Canis lupus familiaris: one gene and its partners. The protein of the gene in region 1 purifies or fractionates together with the protein of each later gene. This does not show direct contact. Links are inferred from orthologs where the notes say so. Each region holds a gene or a part of one and is shown in the gene's direction. Other genes may lie near its edges.

Region 1 (3,966 bases):
TGATAGATGACCGTTTCTTAATCTTGTAGTTTTAATTTATGCCTCCACAGTGGGTGATTTGGAAGTTAAACTTTCTATTGCCTTGTTTCTTCCTTTGTATAGAGGTGATAATAGTATAGTATTTACCATATAATTATCTCCCATTGTTTGAGGGTTAAATGAGTTAAAACACATAAGGTGCCTATTGTAAAAAGGAGGACATTACCTAAAATTTTTTTTAAAGATTCATTCGAGAGAGCACATGCCCATGCACGAGTGGGGGAGGGGCAGAGAGCATCCTCAAGTCGACTCTGTCCATTGCCCAAACAGAGCCTGATGCAGAGCCCAGCCCCAGGACCCTGAGATCATGACCCCAGCTGAAATCCAGAATCACCTGCTCATCTGACTGAGCTATCCAGAGACCTCATAAAATGTTTTTAAGGAAAGGTCAAGGGTACTTGGGTGGTGAAATAGAGACCTTTTACAGGTTCCGTGCTGGCTTGGAACCTGCTTAAAATTATCTCTCTTCCTCTCTCAGAATAAAAAGGGCGATTTAGAATCACTTGTAGTCACTCAAAGGTAACCATTTTGAAGGACATTTCTTTTTCGGTCTTGATTTATGCATATATCCTTTTATATAGTGCAAATTGTGTAGTTTTATATCCTGTCTTTCATATAACATGTTGTAGGCTTTCCAACTATGTCATTAAAATTTTGTCATAGGCAATTTTAATAGCCTGGTAGAATATCCTGTGTTTAATCTAGATTTTCAGTTAACCAGAGATACTGGTCCTTTGCAGTGTTTGCTGTTATAAATAATGTGATGTAACTTTTGTTTTCTTAGGTCTGAAGAAGACACTTGAATCATGGGTGATGTTAAAAATTTTCTGTATGCCTGGTGTGGCAAAAGGAAGATGACCCCATCCTATGAAATTAGAGCAGTGGGGAACAAAAACAGGCAGAAATTCATGTGTGAGGTACTACAGAATACAATTTACATTTATGTGATTTTTGACACTTATTTTGGTGTTAGAACAGTATTTTCTGTTTGGAAAGAGTAATGTGTTGTTTGTTCTTTGTTGTCGCTTGCCTGCTATTCTGTTTCATTATAAATCATTTTCAAGTGAGCGTTACTTTTAAAACAAATCTGAAAGGTGAATTCTGGTTAGAACATGTATCTTCCTCAGCTTCCCCAGTACTGCTGTTTGCAGTTTTACTAATTCCTGTAGAAAGTAGATTCTTGATTGCCTCAAGTTAAGTTGTTTAAATACAGATGACGAGCTTGTTCTTGAGTCTTATGAAATCAGATTTTAATGTGGAACATTCTGTTACAGAAGAGAATATCTGAACCATATAAATTAATATTGTTGTTTTTATATTTATCAGTGGTAAACAATTCAAGCTTTCTTATAAGTTAGCTTGTAAATTCTTTTGGATGTGTTATTTTCAATGTTTTTATAGAGTATATCTTCAAAGTTTGACTATTACCTCTTAATGAACTATTGAATTACATATTTTTTAAATCCCAGAATTAACCTGAGTTAGTCTCTTCTAATACATTTTTTTCCTGACTGTTAAAGGTTCGAGTGGAAGGTTATAATTACATTGGCATGGGCAATTCCACCAATAAAAAAGATGCACAGAGCAATGCTGCCAGAGATTTTGTTAACTATTTGGTTCGGATAAATGAAGTAAAGAGTGAGGAAGTCCCAGCTATTGGGGTAAGTGCTTATGGTCCAGCACTTAAAATATATGTCACAAGGTCATGCCAACCCTATGTATAAAGACACAGGGTGATGATTTTTCAGTGATGTTTTTAAATATATTAATGTATTCTTTGGTGAACCTTAGAATCTTGTTTTCTCAGAGCCTTGGGATGAGTTCCTGAGGATTGGGATATTATTCTCATTATGTACCTGACTTGTGGGGTTGGGAAATTCCTTTATCTGTGTGTCTTATGGTTTTATATATTTCATTCATTCATGAGCTAATTTTCAGTTCTGTATACTTGAAAAGATATACAGAACATAAAAATAAAATATAGAGAACATTATATACACACACACTATAAAAATCAGAAATACCTTAGGACGCAGCGTATACCCCCATTGACAGTTCCTTGTTACAGCAGAGGAAAATTTCTATTTTGTGCAATGGCATATCATTCTTGTGTTTTGATACAAAATGATTACTTCATTTATATTGTGTAAATATGCAACAAAGACTCCCTTCTAGTGTTTTTGATACACTTTATTTTGCATTTAATTAAAAATGAAAATTGAGTTTTCACAAAAATAGAGGAATTCATAACAATATAAGAAGATTCACATTATGATTTAAGTAAATACCTAAGGTAACTTAAAAGATTCAGTTTTTATCAAAACTTTAGGAAAAAAAATCTATATTTTAACAATTTATTTTCACTGTATTCTGACTTATTTATAAAGCTTAATGTGTATGTTTTATTTCCTTCCATTGCTTTGACCCAGAAGTTAAGAGACTCACTCTGTAGTATATTGTACCACTAGATAATTGCAAATGGTTGGCCTATCTGCAAAATGAAGAGATTGGACAAGATGATCTTAGAGATTCTTTCCAGCTATGAAAAGAATGTTGCAAATATCTTCCAAATATTTGGAACATTGGGATTTACTCCATCTGTTATGACCTATTCTGTATCTTTTGGCCTCTTCCTCTCAAAGTGTAGGTCTGCAGGTGACAAATTCTTAATTTTCTTTTATGTGAAAATATTTTTTATTTTATTTTTTGTCTTGCATATTTTCACTGGACATAGAATTCTCTTGTGCCAGTTTCCTTTCTTTCAGCACTTATTTTCTTCCATTGTTATCTGATGAGAAGTCCATTATAATCAAATCATTTCCCCCTCTGTGTAATGTATTTTTTCCCTTGGTTGCATTTATTTTTTTCTTTGGTTTCCAGCAGTTTGACTATGAGGTGACTAGGTGTGGTTTTCTTTGTGCTTACTCCATTTGGAATTTGCTGAGATTCTTGAATCTGTAAATTTATGTCTTTTACCAAACTTGGGGAATCTTTGGCTATTTTTTCAAAAAATTTTTCACTTCATTTTTTTCTCTTCTCTTTTTGGGACTCATATTAAACTTTTGTATATTATCCTAAAGGTCCCTAGGGCTTTTTCTCTTTTTCTTTCTTTCTGTTCTTCAGATTGAATGACTTCTGATATCTTGAAGTTTGCAGAATGTTCTGTCCATTTTGCTGTTGTCAGTCCATCCAGTGAATTTATTTCATATATTATCTTTCTCATTTCCAGAATTATCAGGTGTTTTTTTCTTTTTTTTTTTTAAGAGATTTTAGGGCAGCCCCGGTGGCGCAGTGGTTTGGCGCTGCCTGCAGCCCGGGGCGTGATCCTGGAGACCCAGGATCAGGTCCCACGTCGGGCTCCCTGCATGGAGCCTGCTTCTCCCTCTGCCTGTGTCTCTGCCTCTCTCTCTCTGTGTTGCTTATGAATAAATAAATAAAATTTTAAAAAAAGAGAGATTTTATTTCTCTGGTGGCATTTCTTACCATTTCATTCATTATAAGCATGTGTTCATAATATGAATGTGAGTTCTCTTTATGTCATTGTGCATAGTTACAGTAGCTGCTTTAAAATTCTTGACTACTAAATCTGACATCTGGGTCATCTCAGGTTGAGTTCTGTGGATTGTATTTTCTCTTGAGATTTGTTCACCTTTTTCTCTGTATGTCAAGTAATTTTGGATTGTATTTGGGTGTTACGATAATTATGTTGTAAAGACCCTAAATAATGTTATATTTCTCAAAAGATTATTGATCTTGTTGTACTGTTAAGCAATTTGGACTCCTACTACAAACACTATCTTTGGGTAATAGCTCAAATCTCACTTCAGTTTTCTGATGCTTGGTAGGCAACTTGAAGTTTGTCTTGTACATGTGTTGTTCAGGGGTTATCCAGGGATTTGGGCAGAGTTTTTGGTTTTGTTTTGTTTT
Region 2 (4,407 bases), on another chromosome or scaffold:
TTGGAGCTCTCAGTTCCAGTTGTGGAATCTGGTCTGAGAGTGACTGTCAGGAGGGCCTTGTGGTGAACTGGAGGGTCTTTACTCACCTGTGGGTCGGTGCCCCTGGTTTAGTTGATGGATACCCTGGAGGAAGGTAGCACTCTGTGACCAAATCTTCAGATTTTCTGGAGTTGATTATTTTTTCTGAATGTGGAACTGTTACATTTTTCATTCTCCCTGGCAACTACTGGCTAGCTGGATTATTAGGGAGCGAGCCTTGGGTCCACACTCCGGGCTTCAGTTTTCTCACTGATAAATTTGTGATGGTATCACCTTCCATTGGGTTGTTAGAAGACCAGGTGAGAAACAGAACCCCCAGACCCCCACACTAGGCCTGGCTGCAGGAACTCAGCGGGAAATGCCAGCTACTTAGGTTCTGTTGCTCTCTGGTAATCCTGGTCCATTTGGGGCCCCGGCACCCATATGATTATAAGGAATCAAGGGATTAACGCAGGCCTTTCAAGCGTGGTGGTCAAGCAGCTCAGATTAAGGGGTTTGGTGTATTAGGAAAAAAGAACCACTCCTCCCCACCTACCATCTTCATGATTTCAGGGAAATGGTTTATTTTTCTTTTTAAAGAGAAATTTCAGCAGAAATAAGTGAATGAAGTCGAATGGGAAATGTGAACCTCCAGCGTGAAAACGACGCTAATCGCCTAGGTGATGCCGGACGCCCCAGGATCGGGGAACACCCCGGCCCCACAGCGTCTCCCGCCACATCCGCCGAGAACCAGCGGCCCCAGCGGCCCCAGCGGCCCCGACGCCAGCGGGCTCCACCCCCTCTCCGCTTCTGGCCCGAGGGCGGCGGCAGAAAGAGCGGGAGCGCTGGGCCGCGAGGGCACCAAGGTCGAGGGGGAGCCCTGCCGCTGGCCTTGGGGGGCGCCGCGCGCCCCGTCTCGGCCGCCCGCGTTCCCCCGCTTGCAGCCGGACGATCGGGGCTTGCCAGACTTCTTAGAGCCCCGCTTCCTCTTTTGGGAAAGCGGTGGGCGAAGCTAGCGGTGCCGGGCTGGGGCGCCCCGCGACGAGAGCCTGCGGCCTCAGGCCGCGGAGGGGTCGGCCGCCGGCGCCCTCGGCCGCGGGGGTCCCGGGCCCGGCGGCTCGCGGCAGGGCTGGGGTCGCGCCCGGCCCGGCCGACCTCCGCGGGCGCCGCTCGCGCGGGTTCTAAAGTGAGGACAAAGCCCGCCCGGATTTCGCGTACGCGCGCCGCTGCGGCCAATGGGGCGCTAGCGCGCGTTTGAGTGACGGGCGAGCGAAACCAATGAGCACGCGCCTTGTTGCGAGGTGGGCCCGGCCCCGGCATTATAAAGAGCGCCACGAGTCGGCATTGTCAGGCGGCGGCACCGCGCGGGCCCGAGTGAGCTTGTCGGTCGGTGCGTCTGTGCGGCGCGGCGGCGGCGGCGGCGGCGGCGGAGGGCGCGAGGTCGCGGCGGCTCCGTTGGCGGCGGAGGCTAGGCCCGGCAGCGCAGGCGTGAGCGCGGCCGAGCCCGCGGCGCCTTCCCGGCGGGTGGGGACGAGCGGGCCCCGCGGCGTCATCGGCGGCGAGGTGAGCGGCCGGGCCCGCGGGCGGCGGGCGGGAGCCGGGGCGGGAGCCGCGCGGGCCTGACGCGCCGGGGCCGCTCGTTGCAGGAGCTGCCGCGCCTCGGCCTAGCATGTCGGAAGCGGGTGAGGAGCAGCCCATGGAGACGACGGGCGCCACCGAGAACGGACACGAGGCCGCCCCCGAAGGCGAGTCGCCGGCGGGGTCCGGCACCGGGGCCGCGACGGGCGCCGGAGGCGGGAGCGCGGCGCCCCCGGCCGGCAACCAGAACGGCGCCGAGGGCGACCAGATCAATGCCAGCAAGAACGAGGAGGACGCGGGGTAGGTGCGGCCGCGGGCCGACCGGGGCGCCGCCTTTGTTCCGGGGCCGCCTTTTGTTGGCGCCACGCGGCGGGGGGAGGGGCGGGCGGCCGGGGCCTGCTGGCTGCCCGCCGCCCGGCCCCTCCGCTCGCGGGCTCGCCGTTCGCGCCGGAGTTTGCAGGAGTTTGTTGGGTCGGCTTTGGCGCCGCCCCGGGGCCGCTCGCGCTGGGCCGGGGGCGGGCGGGCGGCCCGGAAAGGGCAGTGCGCTCGGACCCGGGGCCGGGCCGGCCTGGGGTTCGGCGGGGCTGCGTGGGCGGAGTTGGCGCGCGCCCCGGCCGCGGCCTCGCGGCCTCCCCGTTCCCCCCCTCCCCGGGGGCGGAGTCACGGTCTGAACGCGGTCTCCGGCCCCCGGAAGCCTCGAGTTCCTTAAGAGCGAGTTCTCGGGGGTGGCCTGGAGGGGCAGGGACGACGGCCGCTGGAGAGACGTGCTTGTTCGGCACATGGCTCCCTCCGTGCGTTAAGGGCCGATAGGTGCCCGGGCCAGAGTGCCCTTGGCCCCCTTGCCCCGTCGGGGGCCACCGAGTCTGAAGCTGCTCTAGGGTCAAGGTTGTTTGGGAGGGTGGGATTTGTTGACGCCTTCCAAATGTAGGACCCTGGGGGACTCAGGGTAGATCTGTGTGCTAGATGGCGACTTTGCTTAGAACCTGTACCCAGGAAGGGCTGGCACGTGTCTTTACCATTTCAGAAAAATGTTCGTTGGAGGCCTGAGCTGGGATACCAGCAAAAAGGACCTAAAGGATTATTTTACCAAATTTGGAGAGGTCGTTGACTGTACCATAAAAATGGATCCAAACACTGGCCGGTCAAGAGGGTTTGGGTTTATCCTCTTCAAAGATGCAGCCAGTGTGGAGAAGGTAAGCAGGATATTTGATGTCAGTGGTCTTAAGTTCATTCTAAGAGAATACTGATACCATTCTGAGCATGATTAGTTGGTGTGTTCTGTAGGTGGTTGAGCTTTGGGGAAAAACAGGTGAGGAACTTAACTGTTTTTGAAGGGATTAAAAATACAGATTAAGGGGTGGGTAGTAGGTATGGACTCAGGTCGTGCAGGAAGAGTTTAATTGGTGTTTGATGCCTACACTGGCACTGATAAAGCCATTGTTTTATGAGCACTAGAATAAGGAGTCTAGAGTTGCTGTGGAGTAGGCATTATTTTAGTCTCATTTTACAGAAAATACTCAGAAGTGTAAGTAGAAGAGTTTATACACCAGAAAGGGGTGGTTTCCAACCGAGCAGCCCACCCTCAGCCTGGACTCTTCATCACCGTTTCTTTACTTTTGAGAGACCAGCTTTAAACTGCTGCTCCTGGGAAAGCTGGTGGGGGCCGGGGTGGGCTGTAGGTATTCAGATAAAAGAGCTGTACTTGAAGTTAGATGAAGTTCGGTTGCTAAGTCAGATTGAGGGTAGTTTGGAGGGGATGAACAAGTTTGTGTACCAGTGTTGGGGCCTGTGTGGCTCAAGGAAGGGCCTTGGTGAGGGTGGTGCTGCTGAGTTAAAACTTGGTTTTCTTCTGTTGGGACAGGTTCTAGACCAGAAGGAACACAGGCTGGATGGCCGTGTCATTGACCCCAAAAAGGCCATGGCCATGAAAAAGGATCCGGTAAAGAAAATTTTTGTAGGGGGTCTGAATCCTGAAGCCACTGAGGAGAAGATCAGAGAATACTTTGGCGAGTTTGGGGAGGTGAGTGTGTGACTTTGGGAGTGACTTGCCAGTTGCCTTGAGCTTGCTTTCTCCCTTGGCTGGCCATTGCCCTCGTCAGCAAGGCCTTCCTAGGGTCTTTTCTCCTTGGAGATCCCTACGGGTCCTGGGGGCTAGGTAGGAAGAGGCATTATTGGTTCTGAGCTTTGCATATATTTACAGATTGAGGCCATTGAGCTTCCAATGGATCCAAAGTCGAACAAAAGACGAGGTTTTGTCTTCATCACCTTTAAAGAAGAAGAACCTGTGAAGAAGGTTCTGGAGAAAAAGTTCCATACCATCAGTGGAAGTAAGGTGAGGTATCCAACTCTGTATTTTGGCCTCCTGCTGCTGGAGAGCTGGCTCTCACAGGTGTGGGTTAGGAGTTGGGCTCCCTCTCCAGGGCAGTTTGACCCTACTGTTATTTTTTTTTTTGCAGTGTCTGCTGTCCTGATTGGGGCAGATGGTCCTGTCCTTCAGGGAGTCCCTAGGCTGGTGGCATTGGCAGAAACCCAGGATGTGTGGGAGGCAGGAGAAAGGGTGGTTTGTATGGGATGGAGCATGTTGAGTAGCCCCTTTGATTCCTGACTGAAAGCTAGAGATCATGCTGTTCTGAGTCTAGAATCCAAGGTGAATATGGCCTGCAGTTAAGGTCTCAGAAGATTCTAGAATTTGTTATTTATGGGTTGGTTTCCTCTGGGTTGAAGTCTTTCCTACTGTGGAGCTTTTCCCCTTCTGTCAGAGCCAAATCTTTGTTTACTTCTATCCACTTTGGACTCTGATTAGTTAACTCC
Region 3 (4,763 bases), on another chromosome or scaffold:
TTCTCAGTAAAGCATGTTGATAAACAGTATTTACAATAAAACATGACAGAAATAAGCATAGGAGGGGCACCCAAATGGGTCTATGGAATCAAATAAGGCTTCCCCCTAAGAATGTAATGTCTAAGCTGTAAACTGAAATAACCATAACCAAAAGAAGATGCCAGGAATGTATTTCCAAAAAGGAATCAATGTATAAGGTCCTGTGAAAGACACACCAAGGCATGACCAAGGAATTCAGTTCAATTAAGGGGTCAAGTTAAGACAATGAATAGTGAGTGAGAGAGAAGATTGAAAAAAATGAGCAATAGGAGTCAGAGGGCCTTCTATGCTATGCCAAGTTGTTTGAATTTTCTATAAAGGGAGTGCAAATGGTAGGGTTTTAAGAATAAGATTACATAATCTAACTTGGGTTTTACAAAGATCGCTCTGGTTGCTGATAGGAGGCATAAGGGAGGGTAGCCCTGGTGGCGCAGCGGTTTAGCGCTGCCTGCAGCCTGGGGTGTGATCCTGGAGACCTGGGGTCGAGTCCCACGTTGGGCTCCCTGCAAGGGGCTTGCTTCTCCCTCTGCCTGCATCTCTGCCTCTCTCTCTGTGTGCTCTCATGAATAAATAAATAAAATCTTTAAAAAATAAAATACTAAAATCTTTAGAAGAGGCCTAAGTCCTACGTTCAAAGGAGTAAAAAAAAAAAAAAACAAAGGAGTTAAAATACCGTTTACCGTTAAATAGTTGAAATGGTATCAGCTAACAACATGGCATTTAAGTGAAAAGTAAAAACAAAAAAGAAAAAAAGAAAAAATCTGGGGACGCCTGAGTGGTTCAGCCCTTGAGTAGACCTCGGCCTCCCGCTCAGGGCGTGATCCCGGATCCAGTCCCGCGTCGGGCTCCCTGCATGGAGCCTGCTTCTCCCTCTGCCCGTGTCTCTCTCTGCCTCTCTCTCTCTCTCTCTCTCTGTGTGTGTCTCTCATGAATAAATAAATAAAATCTTTAAGAAAAATTTTTTTTCTAAAAATCATCTACGTCAAATGTTGACCCACCTCCAACGGGTAAAAGTTCAACGTGCAAAGTTTTAAAAGCGGTAGGGATACCTCAGATGTCTGCAATAATTATATAACCACAGATGTGCACATTACCTCCCCAAAGACATTACCCATACGTCCCTATGCTGCTTTATACATTCATATATAAAATTCTGTGTTCTCCATAAAATATGAACCAGTCTTATTTATGTTTAAGTACGAGGAGATGTTTTTGGTCTTTTTATTTTGGAACAAGCAAGATCTTTAGAATCCCTAAATAGTTCAGATTTAAAAGTTCCAGAGTCTCAAACCCAGTATCCTGTTAAGAAGTCGCTCAGTCCAAATGACCCAGAGAAGCCCACATTTCATTGCCAAGATAATAATTACCATGATTCTGTGTAACCGAATGGCAGTGAGACTTGACCCTCTGTCAGGCCTAGATAAACACAAAGAGCAAAACTCTCTCTGGTCCTTACACTTATTGCCGGAAGTGCAACGCAGAGGCTGGAAAGGCTGTCACTCCCCACACCTGGTTCCAAACAGCACCAGCAACGGCTCGCTTCCGGCGCAATAGAGCCTCTCAACACTTTGCCCTAAATTGCGACGCCGCCTCTCGTTCACATCCCCTTTCCTATCCACCTTCACTCCCAGAGAAGCAGAGGACTTCACCGGTCCGTAAAACACACGTTCGAATTTCTCCCGCGGAAGGCTGTGACGTCATCAACCCGGGACCGCACGGGATCAGGACCCACTACTCAGCCCGCCCACAAGTACCGACGTTTGCAAACCGCCAATCAAAACTTCTCGTGGTCTGTGAGCCTCCTCGGCCAGCCGGGTAACCCGACGCCCCGCCCCTTGCGCCAGCTCACGCCCGTGACGCAAGCGCCGGGCGCGCCGTCTCCGTCCTCGCGCTCGCCTTTTCGGAGGCGTACGGGAGAACCGTGTCGCCCACCCTATGACGCGGAAACCAGCTCTATAAGGATCTGGAGACGGAAAGGTTGGAGGACGAAATCACCGGCCCAGTATTTTGGGAACTGGACAGAGTAAGTTGGAAGTAAACTGTAGATCGTGTCGCTCAGGTTGAGTGAGGCTTCAAGTCTTCTAAGTCCTTTGTCACGCGCTCCATTCTATCATCTGTCGGCCCTTTCACTTCGTCCCCTCCCACAAGCCCATCGGTTTGCTCGTCCTGTTCCTCTGCGCACGCGCAAAGGTCCTTCAGCGGCCCTTGTAGTTCCAGTTTTCGGAGATTGGGGGCGCATATCGTCCGGCTTTAGGAGATCGGGGGCCCGCCCGGTATTGGGCAGCGTACTTGGGAAAGGACTGGTGTCGACGGGGGGCCGTAGCCAGAGGTGAAATCGCCGGGCCTCGTAGATGTGAGCGTTGGCGGCCAAACGATAGCGAGTGTGAGCACTTAAGTTTTTAAAGTTAAGTCACTTTCTTATTTTCGGGATTCTAGTTTTTGTCATCAGAGAATCGAAAAATCCAGTTACGGAAGGGAGCTAACAAATTATAAATGTCAGTGGAGTGTACTGAATGCGTTAATAAATGTGCTTGAGGGAAAATAGATGAGGAGGCAATAAATTAGGGGAGACGTGGTGGTGGAAAGCTGGAGAGAGTAAGATGCCATTTAACGTGGGCCTTGAAAATTGAATAGGAGTTTATAAGGCAAGTAAAGACAAGACTAATTGAAAGAACAGGCACGGTGTTCTGGTACCGTTGAATGGTCAGCCATGGTAGAACAATGACTTAACGTTTTTGACACCGTTTCCTCTAAAAATGGTAAAGGCTATGGATGAGCATCCTAGGAAGATGCATGCACGTCAAGACATTTTACGTATGATTTTGCTGGGAAATTGTGGAACACCTTGAAATGGCCAAGAAAAAAGATACTGGATGTCTTCTCTAGCTGGCTCTTCCAGGTTCTCTCTTTCATTATCATTGAGCTATTTTACATTTGTGTTAGTTGTAGGAAACGATTATAATGGAACTTAAGTCTTGTAGTTAATCAATTTTGTAGTTATGGCCCTAACCAGTTTTGCATCTATTAACAAATTCATTTCAGTGTTCCTGATTGCTTAGATCTTTTAATTCTCCTTTGAACTAGTTTTTTAATAGAATATTTTAAAATTTATTATTTATTTACTCTATTTTAAGTAGACCCCATGCCCAATATGGGCCTTGAACTCTCAACCCCGGGATTGAGTCGCGTGTTCTACTGACTGAGCCAGCCAAGTGTCCCCTCCAGAACTAGTTCTTTTGTTTTGTTTTTTTTTTTAAGATTTTATTTATTCATGAGAGACACGGTGAGAGAGGAAGAGACAGAGGGAGCAGGCTCCTTGCCGGGAGCCGAATGCGGGACTCCACCCCCAGACCCTGGATCACACCCTGAGCCAAAGGCAGAAGGCAGATGCTGAACCGTTGAGCCACCTAGGTGTCCCCTGAACTAGTTTTTTAACACTTAACTAATTCCTTGATTAATTTCACTAAAATAAAATATTTGATACGTATTCATTTTATGTTAATTTATATTTAAATTCCTTTGTTTAAAATTTCTCTTTTGGGGCACCTGGGTGGCTCAGCGGTTGAGCGTTTGCCTTTGGCTCAGGTGGTAACACCGGGTTCCTCAGAATGAGTCCCGGGTCGGTCTCCCCACAGGGAGTCTGCTTCTTCCTCTGCCTCTCTCTGTGTTTCTCATGAATAAATACATAAAATCTAAAATAATAATAATAATAAAATTTATCTTTCATCAATTTCACAGAATTCATAGGAATGTTTGAAACTCACCCAAAATTCCATAGACTTTAGGTTAAGAATATCTGGGTCAGAATACAGAATGTATCATGACAGGCTGTAAGAGGTTCTACTAAAAGGTGGGCAGTGTAAGGGAGTCAGACTTACCAGAGCTTGTTCACTTAACTGAGCATGTTTACCCAGCTGATTTTGGCCAATTCACTTAATTTTTAAGCCTCTGTAAAAAAGAATTTGAAAGGAACCACCTAATTGTGATTGTGAGGATTTAAAACAATATTTAAAGTAACTGGAATTGTTACACAGTACCTTTATTGTTTGTGTAAAAGCCCCTGTTTAGAAGCCAATTTGATGTCACTGATTCATCAACAATTTTTTAAACTTACATATTCTAAGAAGGTACTAAGGAATTTTTAATGTTGAAAAGTTTTAACATTAAAATTAAAAATTAGATCTGTGTTTTAGACAAGTTACACAGCTTATGAGGAGGATGAATGACTTCTAGAACGGTTTATAAATTGTTCCCATATTGTAGTGATACTCTTTGTGGAAAATATTGGAGGGAAATAAAAACCATTCCAGAAGTTAAATCGGTAGGACTTGGTGACAGATTGGTAAATGATAAAATAACGATAATGTTACATTTTGTCAAGTACGTGAGAAGGTAGACTCAGAGGATCAAGACTCACGAAAGTACTGCTATGTGACTTCTTGATTTTCATAGCCATTGCATTGGGAAGTGAAATTATACCATATCTTGTTACTTCTTGTATCTTTCTCTTATGTATGAAAATATATTTGATTATCTACAGGATATGTTTCTTAAGATCACAAATTACAGACAAATGTTAGGCACACTAGGCAAGAGTTTTAGAACTTAGTTTTTCAAGTCACGAAAGTAAACCTTAGAGGTCTCTGAGATGAGAGTGATGGAGAAAATCTGGTTTCGGGAAAAATTTGGACTTTCTGCATTTCTACAGTTCTGTCCACTATTTC
Region 4 (4,755 bases), on another chromosome or scaffold:
CCTCACAGTCTTTTAGAACTTGTCTTCCGTGCTCAAGTTAGTTCTCCCAGACCACTGGAGCTGAGATGGCTGCTGAAGTAATTTTCAGTGAAATTTTAAGCGACTGTGACTCTGCTTTGAATTCCCCTGTTCCTGAGGTAAGGATTTGTGAGGAAAAGTGAGGGTGAGGGGAAGAGTGGGGGTATACTGAGACGCTTTTGACTTTTTGGTTTGCTAACAGGGATCTCCTCTTGTCCAAATCTCCTCACCCCAGACACACACATCCTGTTGGGGTTGTCTGATTAATTTGATTGGGCTCATTTGAATCTGGCTGTCAAACCCTAGCTGCGTCCGGCTACAAATAACCCTCTTGCAAACTTTGCACCTTTGTTTCTTCTTTTTAAATAAATGTGTAGTATCACTACTACATATGGCAACCCTGCTTTCCAGGGTGATGTCTCATTGGTTATCTCAGAGTGGAAACTTGTGGTGGGAACCTGCCTGGAGGAATTCCTCTGTGGTCTGAAGGAAGGTTTGGGGGCTGCGAAAGAGTTGAAGATGAGGGTGGCACCCAGATTCCCGGTCAACGCAAACATTTATTGACAATATGTGCCAAGCATATTGCCCTACAGTGGAGCTGCAAATATAAATAGGATCCAGCCTCTCCTCTCCAAATTCTCAGGATGCAGGACAAAATGATTACGTGCACAGTGGAGGTAGTAGGCCTGCTAGTCATGGGAAAGGAGAGGAGGCTAGCATAAGGTTTTGCACGAGCGGTGATGCTTAGGTTTGCAGTGGTCTGGTTGAAGAGGGACTTCATGTACAGAGGCACAGAGCTGGGTGCAGGTATACCCCCTGGAATGAGGAGTGTAGAAATAACATTTGTGACGTAGGCTGGTCCTGAGGTCTCTAAGGCCACGGTACAGTTTTACTTTTACCTGGCCAGCAAAGGGGAGCCAGCTCACTGTGGTAGCGGTGAGGACTGTTAAGAGTGACACTGGAAGCTGAGAGATCTATTAGGGGGCTTAGCAAACAGCCCAAGAAACAAACTGAAACTGAGGCATGAGCAGCGGGCTTGGAAAGTATGCCTGCACAAGGAAGACAGATCAGACAGGACTGGTAGCTCTGGACTGAAGATTCCTTCCTGCTTTCTGGTTTGGGAGACCTGATGGGTGTTGGTACCTTTTGGTACCTGGATGGGGAAAGCAAGCATCTTACTGGAGAGCTCCATTCAGAACCTCCATTTCCAGCAACATTCCATCCACTGGTAGCTTCCTGGTTAGCAAACCAGTTTACAGAAACCGCCTCAACGTTTCCAGCCACTGCTTTCTAACATCTCTCCAGCCGGCGACCAGTAGCGTCAAGATGGCGGCCCCCCGCCAAGGACTAGTCATGTGACCTCGGCTTTCCATGGCTGGAAGCCTTGCCGTCCGTTGCGGGGCAAGGTTCACCTGTCACGAAACGGATGTTAGCCCTTCGAATCTCACGAGCCAATCGGCATCCGAGAGGGCTATTGCTGCGAGGCGATCGGAAGATTGGCCTTGTCTCCTCGCCCTAGCCAGCGGCCAATCACCGAGCGTCATATACTCGCGGATCCGCCTGGAGGTGGGGGTGGGGGGAGGCAGGAATGTCGTCACAGCGTGGCGGTATTGTTACCTAAGGGGTTGAGAGGAGGTGGGGCGTATGTTGATTGACAGGCCAGCTCCCCTACCGGGATTTGAGAATTTGGCGCAATAGCCCGCCTTAGGGGTGGGGTCTTATTTGATTGCCAAGTAATATCCCCCAATGGAGTCCTAGCTCGTGGTGACGGGCAGGTTGCTAGACTAATGAATCCTCGGCGTGCCCGGCGCTGTTCTCCAATCGCCGGGCGGCGGGCCCCAGTCTGAGCGGCGATGGCGGCGGCGGCGGCGGCGGCAGCAGCAGCGGGGGCTGCGGGCGGTCGGGGCTCCGGGCCGGGGCGGCGGCGCCATCTTGTGCCCGGGGCCGGTGGGGAGGCCGGGGAGGGGGCCCCGGGGGGCGCAGGGGACTACGGGAACGGCCTGGAGTCTGAGGAACTGGAGCCTGAGGAGCTGCTGCTGGAGCCCGAGCCGGAGCCCGAGCCCGAAGAGGAGCCGCCCCGGCCCCGCGCCCCCCCGGGAGCTCCGGGCCCTGGGCCTGGCTCGGGAGCCCCCGGCAGCCAGGAGGAGGAGGAGGAGCCGGGACTGGTCGAGGGTGACCCGGGGGACGGCGCCATTGAGGACCCGGTGAGGGAAGGAGGGCGAGCGAGCAGGCCTGGCCGTGTCACGGGAGGCCCAGAGCTCGGGCGAGCGGGAGGCAGGCGGGGGGTGGGGTGGGCGGGGAATAACGTGGCTGGGGCAGGGCCGGGCGCGGATCCTCGACGTCCAGAAGGGGCCCAGCCGGGTTGATTCGGGCGTTATGGGTGCCTAGTGTTGTTCCAGAGAAGGTAGCTTGCTTTTCTTTTCATCGCGACCCGCGCGTGGGGCGAGGGAAATGGCCGAGCATGGCTGGGGCCGCGCTTGGACGGAGAGCAGGGCGCAGCCCCTGCGTTGGTTCCTCTTAAGCTCTTCTCCATACCCTTTCCACTCATTACAGGAGCTGGAAGCGATCAAAGCTCGAGTCAGGGAGATGGAGGAAGAAGCTGAGAAGTTAAAGGAGCTACAGAACGAGGTAGAGAAACAGATGAATATGAGTCCACCTCCAGGCAATGGTGAGTAACCGGCGGTTGCACGCGGAGCCCGGGTCCTCGGAAGGGTTCTGCGAGCACGGGTTGTGTGGGATTAGATGCTCGGGACCTTGGAGCTGCTTGTATGAGCAATTACTGGGCAGGTGCTGGGGTCATAGTCCATTGTGTGTTTTTTCTGACCTTAGTGAGGCAAGAATCTCTATTTTGATGATGGTAATTTTGTGCCTTTCTTTGTCCTTTTTACAAATGTGTTCTTTGTTCTTTAGTCTACCTCTACTCTTTGTGGACGTTGCCAACTGGCATTTGACCTTCAAGTCTCATAGTTCTTCCTTTAGTTGGAGACCCTTTAGTTAGGAGTCCTAAAAGAAGCTACTCGACTGCAGAGGGCTTTCTCTTTAACCTAGAACTGTTGAGTTTGGGTTCCCTTGATTTTGTTCACTTTAAAAATGATTTGAGTCAAAGCTGTTCAATAGGGTCTTGATTTGGGAGCAGGAGAGAAATTCCTGTACTGTTTTCTCTGATTTTTTTTTTAAGGATATGTTAATCTGTTGCTTGATTAGTCAGATGTTCAGCCAAGCATCTATTGTGTGCTAGACAGTATTCTTGGTAAGGGGTACAGCAGGGAACACAACAGACCAAAATCTTTGCCTTCCCTGTAGTGGTGGTGGTGGTAGTGATGCATATATTGGTCAAATAGAAAACCAGTTTCTTGCCACCCCCCCCTCCCTTTCTTTTTTCTTCAAAGCTGGCCCAGTGATCATGTCCATTGAAGAGAAGATGGAGGCTGATGCCCGTTCCATTTATGTTGGCAATGTATGTATTGGGGCCCTGATTGGGGTTGTGGGAAGGCTCTTGTTTGGGGAGTTGGTTAATAGGAGTCTTAAGGAATATTTCAAGGATAGGTAGTAGGTTGGGGGAGTATTGAGAGGGTTTGGAGGAGGTAAAAGGAAATGAAGATCAGCAGAGGCTCTGGGGTTGGGAAGAGAAGATTAACTTCTTAGAGAACGAGAGTTGATGTGATTTTGGAGAGGATAGGCAGGGTACCTGTGAAATATAACCTTCTCTACCCTCACAGGTGGACTATGGTGCAACAGCAGAAGAGTTGGAAGCACACTTTCATGGCTGTGGTTCAGTCAACCGTGTTACCATACTCTGTGACAAATTTAGTGGCCATCCTAAAGGGTAAGTAGAGAAGTAAAATGAGGTTGTTTTAATCACATCTTAGAAATAGATAAATAATGTTTTGTATTGAGCAGCGTTAACTTGTTAAAATAAGCAGTGTTTGTTTTATGGTTAGGGCGTTAGTGTCACATATACATATCGGGTCACGTAAATGCCTTCAGAGACCAAACATAAAGATGAAGGTTAGCATGAGTGGGATTGTGAACTAGAAAAAGGAGGGACAGGGATCCCTGGGTGGCGCAGCGGTTTGGCACCTGCCTTTGGCCCAGGGTGCGATCCTGGAGACCCGGGATCGAATCCCACGTCAGGCTCCCGGTGCATGGAGTCTGCTTCTCCCTCTGCCTGTGTCTCTGCCTCTCTCTCTCTCTCTCTCTCTCTCTCTCTCTCTCTGTGTGACTGTCATAAATAAATAAAAAAAATATTATAAAAAAAAAAAGAAAAAGGAGGGACAGCATTTGCTTAGCAATCCAGGCTGTTTGTATACTATTTTATAATTTTCTTAAGAGTAGGTGGAAATTTAGATTGAAGTATTCCATTTAAAAAAAATTTGACCAGGGCAGCCCGGTGGCTCAGCGGTTTAGTGCTGCCTTCAGCCCAGGGCCTGATCCTGGAGACCTGGGATCAAGTTCCACCTCAGGCTACCAGCATGGAGCCGCCTTCTCCCTCTGCCTGTGTCTTTGCCTCCACCCCCCGCCCCCGCCGTGTCTCTCATGAATGAATAAATAAATAAAAATCTTTTTAAAAAAAAATTGACCAATAAATAAATATGTGGCCCTGTTGTTATTCAGGCATACCTGCAAGTTGGATTTGATGTGTAAGCTGCTGTAACTTCAGATGAATGAAATGACAATTATTTTTTTCAGTTTTGCGTATATAGAGTTCTCAGACAAAGAGTCAGTGAGGACTTCCTT
Region 5 (3,966 bases), on another chromosome or scaffold:
ACTTTCTTCATCCAGTTTGTTCATTTGTTCATTCTTTCATTCATTCATTCATTCATTCATTCATTCATTCATTCATTCATTGTGTTTGGAAGGCAGAGGGAGAGAAAAAGAATCTTAACTAGGTCCACACTGAGTGTGAGGCCTGATATGGGGCTCAATCTCATGACCCCGAGTCTCAGATCCATTTTAATTTTTATGTCTAGTCAGCGTTCCTTCCGGGGACCAATTTAGAGAAAGGTTCTGAGCGTTTCATTACTTGCCCTCACCTTATTAATTGTAACACTTTCCATTGAAGCCTGCCTTTAAATAGAGAATCCCAGTTACTGGTTTCTGTGTTAGAATTTCTCATTTATTCCATTTTTGATGTTGAGGTCCCAGAGTTTTGCCTCTTTGCCCCTCTGTTGCCTGAGATGTGTTCCTCTTGACCCCATCTGTGTGTGCAGTTTTTTCTTGCTCTCTAAATCAATTGCTAACCTAAGTTCTTTATTACTGCTTGGGACCACAGGGCCCTGTAGGAAAGGGCCCTGGCTGTGGCTTCTGGGCTGCTGGCTGGCGAGTCTGGCTGTTTTTCATGCGTGGCATCACCCCTTTGCTGGAGCGGTGGCTGGGCAACCTCCTGGCCCGACAGTTTGAAGGTGAGTGGTTTTCTCTGTGTCCAGTTTGTTTTATCACTTCACAGGTAGATCTTACGTTCCCATTCTATCCCTTCCTGCTGGATTGCCTGTAGGTCCCATTCTCTAGTGATTCTGACCTACTGTTGTGTTTCTTGGTTTCTCTTTGGGGCCTTGAAGCTATCTTGCATTTGAAGGATGGAAATTTCTCAGAAGCGTAGTTGTGAATGTCTGAAATAGTTTGTCATTTTTGCATGTGCTAGGCATATGGACACTTTTTTTTTAATTTTTAAGACTTCATTAATTTATTCATGAGAGACAGAGAGAGGCAGAGACACAGGCAGAGGGAGAAGCAGGCTCCGTGTAGGGAGCCTGATGTGGGACTCGATCCTGGGTCTCCAGGATCACACCCTGGGCTGAAGGCAGGTGCTAAACCGCTGAGCCACCCAGGGATCCCCTGGACACTATTTATGCTTGTTGATTTCAGTGTAACCATGATTAATAGGAAGCATGGTAGTAGAGGCTTACTGAAAGCCATGAATCTTGCTTTTAATCAGTTTCATTTTGGGCAGCCCCAGTGGCGCAGCGGCTTAGCGTCGCCTGCAGCCCGGGGTGTGATCCTGGAGACCCGGGATCGAGTCCCACGTCAGGCTCCCTGCGTGGAGCCTGCTTCTCTCTCTGCCTGTGTCTCTGCCTTTCTCTCTTTCTCTGTCTCTCTGAATAAATAAATTTTAAAAACTCTTATAAAAAAATTTCATTTCTAGGCCGACACTCCAAGGGGGTGGCAAAGACTGTAACAAAGCAGCGAGTGGAATCGCATTTTGACCTGGAGCTTCGGGCAGCTGTGATGCATGACATTCTGGACATGATGCCTGAGGGAATCAAACAGAACAAGGCCCGGACGATCCTGCAGCACCTCAGTGAAGCCTGGCGCTGCTGGAAGGCCAATATTCCCTGGAAGGTAGGTGTTGCCCCACTCCAAGAAGGCATGGACATCATCTCTCTGGGGTTAGGATTATCACTCCTGGACTCCCTTTGGGAGCTGTGTGACTGCTATCACATTCTCATTGTGCCTTTTGTACTTGCAGGTACCTGGGCTGCCAACACCCATAGAGAATATGATCCTTCGATATGTGAAGGCCAAGGCTGATTGGTGGACCAACACTGCCCACTATAACCGAGAACGAATCCGCCGTGGAGCCACTGTGGACAAGACTGTTTGCAAAAAGAACCTGGGGCGCCTCACTCGGCTCTATCTCAAGGCAGAACAGGAGCGACAGCACAACTACCTGAAGGTCGTGCAGCTTAGGCTGGGCTAGGCATGGGGAGTGGGCAGAGGGAAGATTGCAGAGTTGGACTATGTCTTATTCTGTAGGGATTAGGCTACAGTGGTTGATTATCATGTCTTTTGCAGGATGGGCCATACATCACAGCAGAGGAAGCGGTGGCAGTGTATACCACCACTGTGCATTGGTTGGAGAGCCGGAGGTTTTCACCCATCCCATTTCCCCCACTCTCCTACAAGCATGACACCAAATTGCTCATCTTGGCCTTGGAGCGGCTCAAGGAAGCTTACAGGTGAGGAGTACAGTAGGAGGATTCCCTTGGGAAGGTGAAAGTAGGAAGACAGCATCACAGTTAGTGTCCAAAGGAAGAAGGTTTAGCCTTAGGCCTTTCTGGGTTTGGCTTCCTCTTGGTTTTCCCATTCATCTTTCCTGTTTCTTTGTCAGTGTGAAGTCTCGGTTAAACCAGTCTCAGAGGGAAGAGCTAGGTCTGATCGAGCAAGCCTATGACAATCCCCATGAGGCACTGTCACGCATCAAGCGTCACCTCCTCACACAGAGAGCCTTTAAAGAAGTGAGTAAAATGCTCCCCCCTCCCCCTAGTTTTCTGTTGGCTGTGCTATTCACGTATGGCACCAGGTAGCAGGTTGCTTCAGGTATTGGTGGATCTGAGTAAGTTTCCCTGTCCCACAGGTGGGCATTGAGTTCATGGATCTTTATAGCCACCTGGTGCCAGTATATGATGTAGAGCCACTGGAGAAGATCACTGATGCCTACCTGGACCAGTACCTTTGGTATGAAGCTGACAAGCGCCGCCTTTTCCCACCCTGGATCAAGCCTGCCGACACAGAACCACCTCCTCTGCTTGTTTACAAGTGGTGCCAAGGTAAAGTTTTTCTTGCTTTGCCCTTTGGAACTGAGGTGAATTGGGTTGATTTAATTCTACATCGAAATTCTCATCCAGGTAGTATAATTAGCTTACTCTTGTTGCATAGTGCCAAGGAAATAATGTTGATGTTAAACTGAGCAAAGCTGACACTCCTAGCAGTCCTGATGAATGAGTGGAATATTAGTGGGATGAGGTTGTGGACTGCAGGTACTAGCCTTGGAAGGGAATTTCTAACCTGGAGATCTCTCTTGCCTACTCAGGCATCAATAATCTGCAAGATGTGTGGGAGACAAGTGAGGGCGAGTGCAATGTCATGCTGGAATCACGCTTTGAGAAGATGTATGAAAAGATTGACTTGACCCTGCTTAATAGGCTGCTGCGACTCATTGTAGACCACAACATAGCTGACTACATGACAGCCAAGAACAATGTCGTCATCAACTATAAGGTGTGTCTTGGAGGCAAGGTATCAAGGAATTGGAGGGGCTGTGTCTGGGTGAGGAAGGATTTGCCGAAAGGAAGACCAAACAGGATGGGCCCCAGAGAGGCCTGGGACATGGCTATGAGTTAAGAATTATTCAGAGTTCTCAATTTTTCATTCTAGGACATGAACCATACAAATTCCTACGGGATCATTAGAGGCCTGCAATTTGCCTCATTCATTGTGCAGTACTATGGTTTGGTGATGGATTTGCTGGTGTTGGGACTGCACCGGGCCAGTGAGATGGCTGGGCCCCCTCAGATGCCAAATGACTTTCTCAGTTTCCAGGACATAGCCACTGAGGCTGCCCACCCCATCCGTCTCTTCTGCAGATACATCGATCGCATCCATATTTTTTTCAGGTGAGGGCTTGCCTGGATTCTTATCCTGGCAGGGCGTTGAGGCATGTCCCCAGCCTCTGGACTCAGCTATCGTACGTTAGTTGACTTGTTGCTGGCTTGGGCTCTAAAACCGAAAGAAGGTCCTAGGAGTAGGGTGGGAGTTGGAGGTGGGCTTTATCTATGGAGTTGTAGGTCTTGTGAGTTCCCAGTTTATTTGGATCTCAGCAATGCATCTTGCTTGGTGTAGGTTCACAGCAGATGAGGCTCGGGACTTGATCCAGCGTTACCTGACAGAGCATCCTGACCCGAACAATGAAAATATCGTTGGCTATAATAACAAGAAGTGCTGGCCCCGAGATGC
Region 6 (3,966 bases), on another chromosome or scaffold:
CTGGGCCTCCTGGCTACAGCCTGCTCTGGCTCCTTTCCTGCTTCCTTGCATGTGTACCTTAGACTGGGCAGGGAGAGGGGAACAGGAAATCCATTTTGCCACTTGTTAGCAATCCAGGTAAAAGGTTTGAAGATGAGAGGTAGAAATTAGTCTCAAAGTGAGTCCTTTGGATTGTCTCTGATTTCACTTATCCTTGTCTTTCCCCATATCTTAGAGAATGGAAGACTGACTGTAATTTAAATGTTTACTATTTGTTATTCAGGAATTCAGTCTTTGAAGCTTGCTTGATATCTGTACTAATGTAAATCTTGGAACTTAAATGTGTGCATATCTGGCTTTATCTTTGCAGCTGCAGTGTGAGAGAGGGTATGGTATCAGAGAAAAGGAATTGGGCCTCTATTTCCGATCCTAGCTTTGCAGTAAAGAGAATATAATTAAGGATGAGTTATTGGTCTCTTTATGCCTCATTTTTCTTGACATGCAAACCTCAAACCTTGAATGATAACAAGTTTCTTTTCATTTGACTAAAAGTAACATCAGCGGCAATCCTAAATAGGCACCATAGTGTAGTTAGGTGAGTCGCCTTTGGTGTCAGACAGATCTGGGTTTAAATCTCAGTTTCTTCTAGCTATGTGACCTTGGGTAAACTACTACTTTTTTGAACCTTAGTCTCCTCATCTGTAAAATGGGGATAATACCTACCCAAGTAGGTCTACTGTGAGAATTAAACGAGAGACTATGTATTAAAGTGTGGAGCACAATGCCTGGCAGTTAATAAGTCCTTCAGAAATGGTAGCTATTACGCATTTAAGAAACAGAAATTTGAAGAAAAAAAAAAAAGAAACAAATTTGTACTCACATGAAGCGAGTTTTAACATTATTCTAAAGCATGATCATATTTGAAATGTTTCTTTACTTTTGGAAGGCAATTCGTGATTTTCTATAACTGTTCTGTTTCTTCTACAGGATTTTTTTTGCAGACCTTAACTTTGGGATTCCCTTTATTAACTGTTTTCGGTATTTTTTGAAATACGTACTTTCTCACTTAAACTTTAGTGATACTGTAGATAATTTGGCTGTGTGTTCAATCTGTAACTGCCCTTTTTTTTTTTTAACCTTCAAGTTATTCAAAGAGGAAAAGATATTCCCTCCTAGGTGACTATTGGACTCTTTAAAAAATCAGTGGTATGGTGTCATTTTAATTCTCTTGAAACCTAGATTTTAACCCCCACTACTGACCCTCCACACAGGAGGCAGCAGAGTGGCAACAACAGGAGTGGGGAAGGTGCTGGAGAAAGGCAAGATTGTTGATGAAATTAACTCTTTGTTTCCTTAGCTTTTTTCCCCTTCAGTGTCCTTCTATGAAAGGATCATGAAATGCCCTGGAGAATTGGATAGCACTGTAGGCTCCTGCTGTTTTCCTGCTCAGGCCAGCCAGGGTTTTGAGTCCATGCTATCAGTGTTAAATTAGTAACCTTGTGATCTGCAGCATTAATTCAGAGGATCCCCTAATGGTTCCAGTGGGCTGAGGATTTTTAAATTTTTCTCAGTTAGTGGAAGCTATGCACTGAGGGAATCCTCAAGTTAAGACCTACAAGAAAAATCAGCTGTGAAGGCAAGTCACACCCATCCCTTTAGGCACCAAATTTCAATGATCTGGACATTTTCAAATGATGTAGATGGCATTCATATCAGCGTTTCTTATGTAAATTATTTGTAAATGAAACAGTGATATCCAGTGATAAAAGCAGAAAAATAAAAGCTCCACTTACTAAATTCCAAAGTAGTGAGTCTCCAACTTCTCAGTGCGTCAGTATCACTAGAGGAGCTTATTAAAGATACACTTGCTCTGGTCTCCTCCTCCTGCTTCTTAGTCAAAATCCCTGGGCATTTGTATTTTACTAAGCTTCCTAGATGAGCACCAAAGTTAGAGAATCACTGTGGTATGATGGGTCGTGTTGTTTTGATGGAGTATTAATTTAGTTCTGATAGGATTAACATAACCTAATTTTAAGAAAGGAGTGTGTATTTGGGTTATCTTTATATTTAAAACAGAATAAAGAAGCTTGCCATTATCAGCTTTTGCTGAGGATAAAATTAGCTGTTTTGGATGCCTCCTTGAGTTGAGAAACGTTTCTAGATCTCTGCTTGGTGTGGATCAGATTTTCTCCTCAAAGAGGAGGCAGTGTCTGAGTAGTATAGTCTTAGGGAAGTAGAAGGCAGTGTTTTAGAGCCTGGCTGACATTCCCAAATTTATTCAAGTTTTGGTCCTTCTCGGATTGTGTTTTCAGACAAGAGACCACAAACGCATGAGAACATCTTAATTTATATGAGATACTACTATGTTTTTAAATCAAATTTGCTATATTTCTTCCATGAGAAGTAATTGGAAGACAATTTCTATTTGGAGGACTTCCAAATAATCAATGTTTAATATTTTAATATTTAGGAAAATGTTTTCTTAATCTCTTTGTTTACCTCCATTTTTCAAAGCATAGTTTTGTCATAGAGTGCCGTTTAATGCTAGTCAATGATATGTATATCTTTTGGTGTTTATAAAAACAAAAAATGGGGATGAAGGGATAAATTGCCAAGATAATGACCAGGCCTTTTAAACCATGGCCATAAAAAATGTTCAAGGTCCAAGTGACATACTGTAGTCCACATCAGGTATCATGAATTGAGAGCTCACAATTTTCATTGTAGGTGTTTACAGTACAGCTAACACTTGGAGATCAGCACTGGGAAGCTGAAGGAACTAGTATTAAAAAAGCCCAGCACACAGCTGCTGCCAAAGCTTTGGAAGGAACAAAATTTCCTAAACCCATAGCCCGCCCTTTTCGTAGCGAAGGAAGGAATCCAGGTATTATGCGTGGGCCAAGACAGGTTCCTTTCAAAAGTGTGTTTAGAGGTACCCATTCAGTATGTATATGAATTCTTTCTTAACTAACGTGTTGATTTTGAAAGCACAGTTTCTACACTATCAGTGGCAAACGCTTACCTTTTCAGAATCCTTCCCCATACTCTAAAGCATTGGTTCCCAGGCTCTGGTCCCAAGGATGGACAGAAGGTCCTGAGGCGGGGGTGTGTGTCACCAAACAATTTCCAAGATTCCAGAAAAGCTTAGCACAAATACCTTTTGTTCCTTGATAAGGTTGTACAGATTGCCAAGAATGTAGGCTTTAGCTGGAATCACTTCAACCCAGGGTGGAAATATCAATTTTAACACGTTGATCAGAAACCCACATTGTCATACATGCCTCCTGATCATTAAACAGAAGGAGAAAATAACTTAAGTATTTATTACTCAAATACTATTAGTAGCTATTTCTTCAAATAAGGGACCCAAGCAGGGAGAAGAGTAACAGAGAAGAGCATCTGGTAAAAGCTCGGAAACCACTGACCTGCCACGGTGGGTGGGAGTGGCTGTTGTAGCCACATTACCTGTGAGTGGCTGTTTTAGCCACATTACCCGCCGGGCACACGAAGCCATCCCAGTCCCTTTGTACACAGGAAGAAATCCGGGAGATCTCAGCCATACCTTTCTTGTTGCTTTTAATTTCTTTGTGGTGTTTCGGATTCATTCTCCACTGCAGGTAAATTTTATGGGTCAAAACTGCTCTTAAGATGATTCAGGTTATACTTAAAGTGCAGTTGTTTGAATCATAAAGAAAATTTCTTTTGTTTGAAAGAGGCTGGTTATTTCTATGACCCTCTGATTTTGCAAACCCAAAGATATTCTTATAAATTTGATTCATGCACTAAATTTAGTCTAACCAGTTATGGGACAGAATCAAGTCATTTTTTATTTTCCTAAAGAGGCATTTTAAAGTGAATTTTTGTGTGCATTTAAGTTGAACTTTGCCATTGCTAGTGTTGTTCTGTGTTTGATGTGAAAGTGTTGTTTTCAAATGTGATTATGCACTGACATTATTCTTTCCAGCCTGGTTTTCCTTTTACATGTTT
Region 7 (3,966 bases), on another chromosome or scaffold:
AGGAATTAGCTTTTGAATGACTTGTCATCTAGATAGGGGGATTATCTGAGAGGACTGTGAGGAATGGAGGGCTCAGGGGAACCCATATCCATTGAGCATTTTCTGTTGCTCATGGACAGTATTAAGTGCTTTCATGGGTGTGATATCTTTTGTGTTCCATACTGCTTGACAAATGATGATTGGATACAAAAGTAAACTGAGTTAACAAAGAGTTTGTCCCTTCTAGGCCCTTTCCAAAGCTTAGCACCAACTCTTTCATCAATAGCAATACCCTCTCAGCCCCCCCCCCCCCCACTTTTTTTAACCTAGGATGGTGCACACTTGCCCCCAGTATATCTGTGGAGCTACTGCAAGCCCACCATAGGAGTGGGTTTCTTCCTCTGCAATTACTCTCAGGCCCCAGCTTTTAGTTTCTTTGTGATCAGTGCCACCTGCTGGTCAGAAGATGCCCTTTTCCAGGTTGGAGGGATTGAAGAAGTCTCTTACCTGGCAGAACAAAAGATATGCCTTTCCCAGCTTATCCTCCACTCTGCTCTAATTCCCTGAAAAGAAGCTCCCTCCACCCAAAAATATTAGGTTAGTAGGCAGGTGTTTACTATTAACCTAGGCTGATGAGAGTTTTTATACATACTGCTTAGGGTCTTTAGCACCTTCTGTAATAGCTCTACGGCAGGGTATTGAAATAGTGTTACAAAAGGGAGTTGTACTAACCCATGCCAGTGAGCAGAAAGCTGGGCTGGAAGTATAAATACCAGTACTTAATGTTAGGCCTTTCCTGCTGTCACCAAGCCTCCCTTTCTGTTCCTTCTGGAGCCTGTCTTCTGATGCAACCTGTCTAGGGTCTGGGGTAGGAGAGATTTGTACAGCCCCTTGGGGTAAAAGACATTGCCAGAGTGTAGAGAGCAAAGAGTAGATACATTATGCTCTCTAAGCAAACAGTAAAATTTGAGTCAGTATAAAAATGAGTAATTCTAAATTATTAAAAACAATTCTTAGGTAAATATGCTGACTTAACTATTACATTGGCTTTAGCTCTGGGAAAGGAGAGTGATAAAGCTGGGGAAAAAAGGGGGTGTGTAAGGACCAACTGACCTGAGTTTGAGTGCTCATTCCTGGCAAGTTAAAGAACTTATTGGGGTCTGTTTCTGGTAAAATATGAACAATAGTAGTGTTTATAGGGTCTTGTGATTACTCAATATTGCATGCCATCCCTAGCCGGCAGAGAGTGCTCAATGAGGCTTGTTTAGCACACCTTTTTAAAAATAGCTGGTACCAGTAAAGAAAGCCAAAAGGCTAGGTTGATGTCTGGATCAGACCCAAAGAATTTTCATAATGTGGTCATTGTTATAGCCGATATTACTTGCAGTTTCCACGTGACTTCTTTGCCTTCTTCTACATGGAAGGAACAGAAGAAAAACAGTGGAAGGTCTTCAAATTTAGATCCTGCATGGGGTAACGTTTCAGATAAATATTAAAGAAGGAATGGGGTTAAAATAATTAGACTCAAGCCAACCAGAGTTCAAATTGTAACCCTGTTGCTCGTTAGCACTGTGGCCTCTGAATGTGCATTTTTTTTCCCTTGTGAAATGTCCTGGTTCTGCTTATCATATCAGTACCAAATGAGGGAACGTATATAAAGCACCTGGCCATGAGGTCAGCAGCCCAGCAAGATGTAAAATGGAGAGGCTGGATACTGTGGGGGTGAATGTGTAGCAGGGCACAAAGCAATCCAGTTTAGCCAGGATGTGGGCCATGGATAGCCTTTAAGCCCATCTGGGGGACCCAGCTTCACAGTGGCTCTCTCTCTTCAGGTGGCCACCATGTCCTTGAAGATCCAGACAAGCAATGTAACCAACAAGAATGACCCCAAGTCTATCAACTCTCGGGTCTTCATCGGAAACCTCAACACAGCTGTGGTGAAGAAGTCAGATGTGGAGACCATCTTCTCCAAGTATGGCCGTGTGGCCGGCTGTTCTGTGCACAAAGGCTATGCCTTTGTGCAGTATGCCAACGAGCGTCATGCCCGGGCAGCTGTGCTGGGAGAGAATGGGCGGGTGCTGGCCGGGCAGACTCTGGGTAAGTGTCTTTCCTTGGCCCTGCTTCTAGTGTTTTTCTGAGCAGGTTCCAGCCTTCACTTTCTAGCTCCTCCCTAGGCACTTTTCTGTTTCCCTTACTACTACCCACTACCTCTTTCTGAAATTGTATTTAAGTTATAAATGAAGTAGTTATAAAATCTGCCTGTATGGGAGTATTTTAGGAGCTTCTTAAAAATGCTTCTATCTTGTCTTTGCTTTCACAATGACTCTTAGTGACAAGCCTTATAGTTCCAGTTAAAATGCAGATTCCTAAGAGAAAAGGAAGGGTGGACTAGCATAGCCTATTACATTGGGCTACAGATGGCTTAGGTTAGAACTCTTTATGAGAGCCAGGAGGAGGGGCTGGGAGCACAAGGTAAAGCGGTGCCTTTGGCCTTGGTGCTGTGTATATACGATGTGGCCATGTGGCCGTCTACCTTGGAGGGTGTACAGTGCACCTACTTCTATGTATCTTGTGTTCAAGAAGAGATATCTGTATATGTGATATGTGGATATAGCTAAGCATGTGGAGAACATGTGGACACATCTTTAGTATGTATATTTATGCAAATGTGTGTCAGAATATACTAGTGCATATAAGCAGATATGCATATTTATATACACACGTCTGTCATATGCTGAGCATCATTCTAGGTATAAAGATTTGGTAGGACATTTGCTTGAATGTGCAGTGGCTCATTTGTGTATGGGCAGTTACGTATATGGACGTTGGAGTCAGCTATGTTATTTGATTACTTGGATGCATGAACATGTGTGTGAAGATATGTATTTGCAGTATTTATTTACATGAGTGTACTTGAGAATGCATATATATGTGTGATGCCCATGGCATGTGTGCGTGAGTGAGAGGTTTGTGAGCATGCATGCAGGTGTCTGAATGTAAATTTGTAAATAGGTGTATCTCTGTGATGTGCGGGTATGAATCTAATGTGTAAAGACCTCTGTTGGTTGTTTTAGTTAGGAAAGTCCACGTGTACCTCACATAAACACATAGAAATTGCTGCTCACGTGTGTGAGGGTGATACATGTTTGGATACCCTACTGTTCTGCCTGCATCTGACTGTGCCTCCTCCCTCCCTCTACGCAGATATCAACATGGCTGGAGAGCCCAAGCCTAACAGACCCAAGGGGCTAAAGAGAGCAGCATCTGCCATATACAGGTGGGGCGCTCTGTCTTGTCTCTCTCCATCTGGGTGGGATTGGTCCCTCTTTCCACAGAGGGAGTGAACACTGGTTGGTGACAGTGTGGCGAGCCTAGAGTCTGGGGAGGCATTTGGAGATGAGGACCTATGGAGAGCGGGCTGAGTGGCTGTCCCTAAGCCCTGGCCCTCTCCCCTTTGTTTCCCCAGTGGCTACAGCTTTGACTATGATTACTACCGGGACGACTTCTACGACAGGTGAGCAGGGGGAGGGGCGTGCCCAGGCATGAAACAGCCAAGCTGGAAGGGTCCTGAGAGATTGCTGGTGCAGCCCACTCGGTCCTCCCAAGTGTGAACCAGAGCCCAGAGGTGTGGACAGGCATCTGCCCAAGGCTGCTCCACAAATTGGTGGCAGAGCTGGAACTAGGGTCTAGTTCTTCAGGTCCCCAGGTCAGAGTTTCCCCCACTCCACACTGTCTCCCACTCTCTGCCCTTCCTCCTCCTAATCTGAGGGTGGGGCTCAACAGGACTAGGTAGCAAGAAACATTTAAAAATAGCAAGTTGAATTAGAGGTTACTAGGCACAGGGAGTTTGAGTCCTCCCACTCCTGCTGTTCAGTCTCCTTACCTTTTGGAGGTGCTCAGCCAGGTGGAAGGGACCTCGGAGCTCAGTGTGAGCCTCTTGGCCTTTCATTCATAGCTAAGAGGTCAGCGATCCTTTGGAGGTCTGAA

What was found.
Region 2: the proteins of DHX9 (region 1) and HNRNPAB purify together in Homo sapiens (affinity purification with mass spectrometry; 3 studies listed by BioGRID and IntAct, with this or other methods). This does not show direct contact. The link is inferred for Canis lupus familiaris from reciprocal best matches to the Homo sapiens genes DHX9 and HNRNPAB.
Region 3: the proteins of DHX9 (region 1) and LARP7 purify together in Homo sapiens (affinity purification with mass spectrometry; 3 studies listed by BioGRID and IntAct, with this or other methods). This does not show direct contact. The link is inferred for Canis lupus familiaris from reciprocal best matches to the Homo sapiens genes DHX9 and LARP7.
Region 4: the proteins of DHX9 (region 1) and PABPN1 purify together in Homo sapiens (affinity purification with mass spectrometry; 4 studies listed by BioGRID and IntAct, with this or other methods). This does not show direct contact. The link is inferred for Canis lupus familiaris from reciprocal best matches to the Homo sapiens genes DHX9 and PABPN1.
Region 5: the proteins of DHX9 (region 1) and PRPF8 fractionate together in Homo sapiens (co-fractionation; 3 studies listed by BioGRID, with this or other methods). This does not show direct contact. The link is inferred for Canis lupus familiaris from reciprocal best matches to the Homo sapiens genes DHX9 and PRPF8.
Region 6: the proteins of DHX9 (region 1) and STAU1 purify together in Homo sapiens (affinity purification with mass spectrometry; 6 studies listed by BioGRID and IntAct, with this or other methods). This does not show direct contact. The link is inferred for Canis lupus familiaris from reciprocal best matches to the Homo sapiens genes DHX9 and STAU1.
Region 7: the proteins of DHX9 (region 1) and RALY purify together in Homo sapiens (affinity purification with mass spectrometry; 3 studies listed by BioGRID and IntAct, with this or other methods). This does not show direct contact. The link is inferred for Canis lupus familiaris from reciprocal best matches to the Homo sapiens genes DHX9 and RALY.

The regions. Positions count from the first base shown.
Region 1 is NC_049228.1:16,115,690-16,119,655, forward strand, and holds part of DHX9 (ATP-dependent RNA helicase A), read left to right. Parts: intron 1-823; 5' UTR 824-845; coding exon 846-956; intron 957-1,559; coding exon 1,560-1,700; intron 1,701-3,966. UniProt on the Homo sapiens protein: Multifunctional ATP-dependent nucleic acid helicase that unwinds DNA and RNA in a 3' to 5' direction and that plays important roles in many processes, such as DNA replication, transcriptional activation, post-transcriptional RNA regulation, mRNA translation and RNA-mediated gene silencing.
Region 2 is NC_049232.1:3,625,071-3,629,477, reverse strand, and holds the start of HNRNPAB (heterogeneous nuclear ribonucleoprotein A/B), read left to right. Parts: upstream 1-1,387; 5' UTR 1,388-1,581; intron 1,582-1,664; 5' UTR 1,665-1,687; coding exon 1,688-1,896; intron 1,897-2,620; coding exon 2,621-2,789; intron 2,790-3,457; coding exon 3,458-3,616; intron 3,617-3,796; coding exon 3,797-3,928; intron 3,929-3,929; exon of another isoform or gene 3,930-4,407. UniProt on the Homo sapiens protein: Binds single-stranded RNA. Has a high affinity for G-rich and U-rich regions of hnRNA. Also binds to APOB mRNA transcripts around the RNA editing site.
Region 3 is NC_049253.1:7,465,675-7,470,437, reverse strand, and holds the start of LARP7 (la-related protein 7), read left to right. Parts: upstream 1-1,884; 5' UTR 1,885-2,062; intron 2,063-2,235; exon of another isoform or gene 2,236-2,444; intron 2,445-4,763. UniProt on the Homo sapiens protein: RNA-binding protein that specifically binds distinct small nuclear RNA (snRNAs) and regulates their processing and function.
Region 4 is NC_049229.1:3,702,167-3,706,921, forward strand, and holds the start of PABPN1 (polyadenylate-binding protein 2), read left to right. Parts: upstream 1-1,863; 5' UTR 1,864-1,871; coding exon 1,872-2,222; intron 2,223-2,571; coding exon 2,572-2,686; intron 2,687-3,407; coding exon 3,408-3,475; intron 3,476-3,737; coding exon 3,738-3,844; intron 3,845-4,707; coding exon 4,708-4,755.
Region 5 is NC_049230.1:45,763,351-45,767,316, reverse strand, and holds part of PRPF8 (pre-mRNA-processing-splicing factor 8), read left to right. Parts: intron 1-505; coding exon 506-635; intron 636-1,375; coding exon 1,376-1,572; intron 1,573-1,699; coding exon 1,700-1,906; intron 1,907-2,025; coding exon 2,026-2,189; intron 2,190-2,341; coding exon 2,342-2,468; intron 2,469-2,587; coding exon 2,588-2,780; intron 2,781-3,043; coding exon 3,044-3,231; intron 3,232-3,387; coding exon 3,388-3,626; intron 3,627-3,852; coding exon 3,853-3,966. UniProt on the Homo sapiens protein: Plays a role in pre-mRNA splicing as core component of precatalytic, catalytic and postcatalytic spliceosomal complexes, both of the predominant U2-type spliceosome and the minor U12-type spliceosome.
Region 6 is NC_049245.1:36,467,260-36,471,225, reverse strand, and holds part of STAU1 (double-stranded RNA-binding protein Staufen homolog 1), read left to right. Parts: intron 1-2,706; coding exon 2,707-2,911; intron 2,912-3,966. UniProt on the Homo sapiens protein: Binds double-stranded RNA (regardless of the sequence) and tubulin.
Region 7 is NC_049245.1:23,759,554-23,763,519, forward strand, and holds part of RALY (RNA-binding protein Raly), read left to right. Parts: intron 1-1,811; 5' UTR 1,812-1,820; coding exon 1,821-2,076; intron 2,077-3,183; coding exon 3,184-3,256; intron 3,257-3,445; coding exon 3,446-3,493; intron 3,494-3,966. UniProt on the Homo sapiens protein: RNA-binding protein that acts as a transcriptional cofactor for cholesterol biosynthetic genes in the liver. Binds the lipid-responsive non-coding RNA LeXis and is required for LeXis-mediated effect on cholesterogenesis.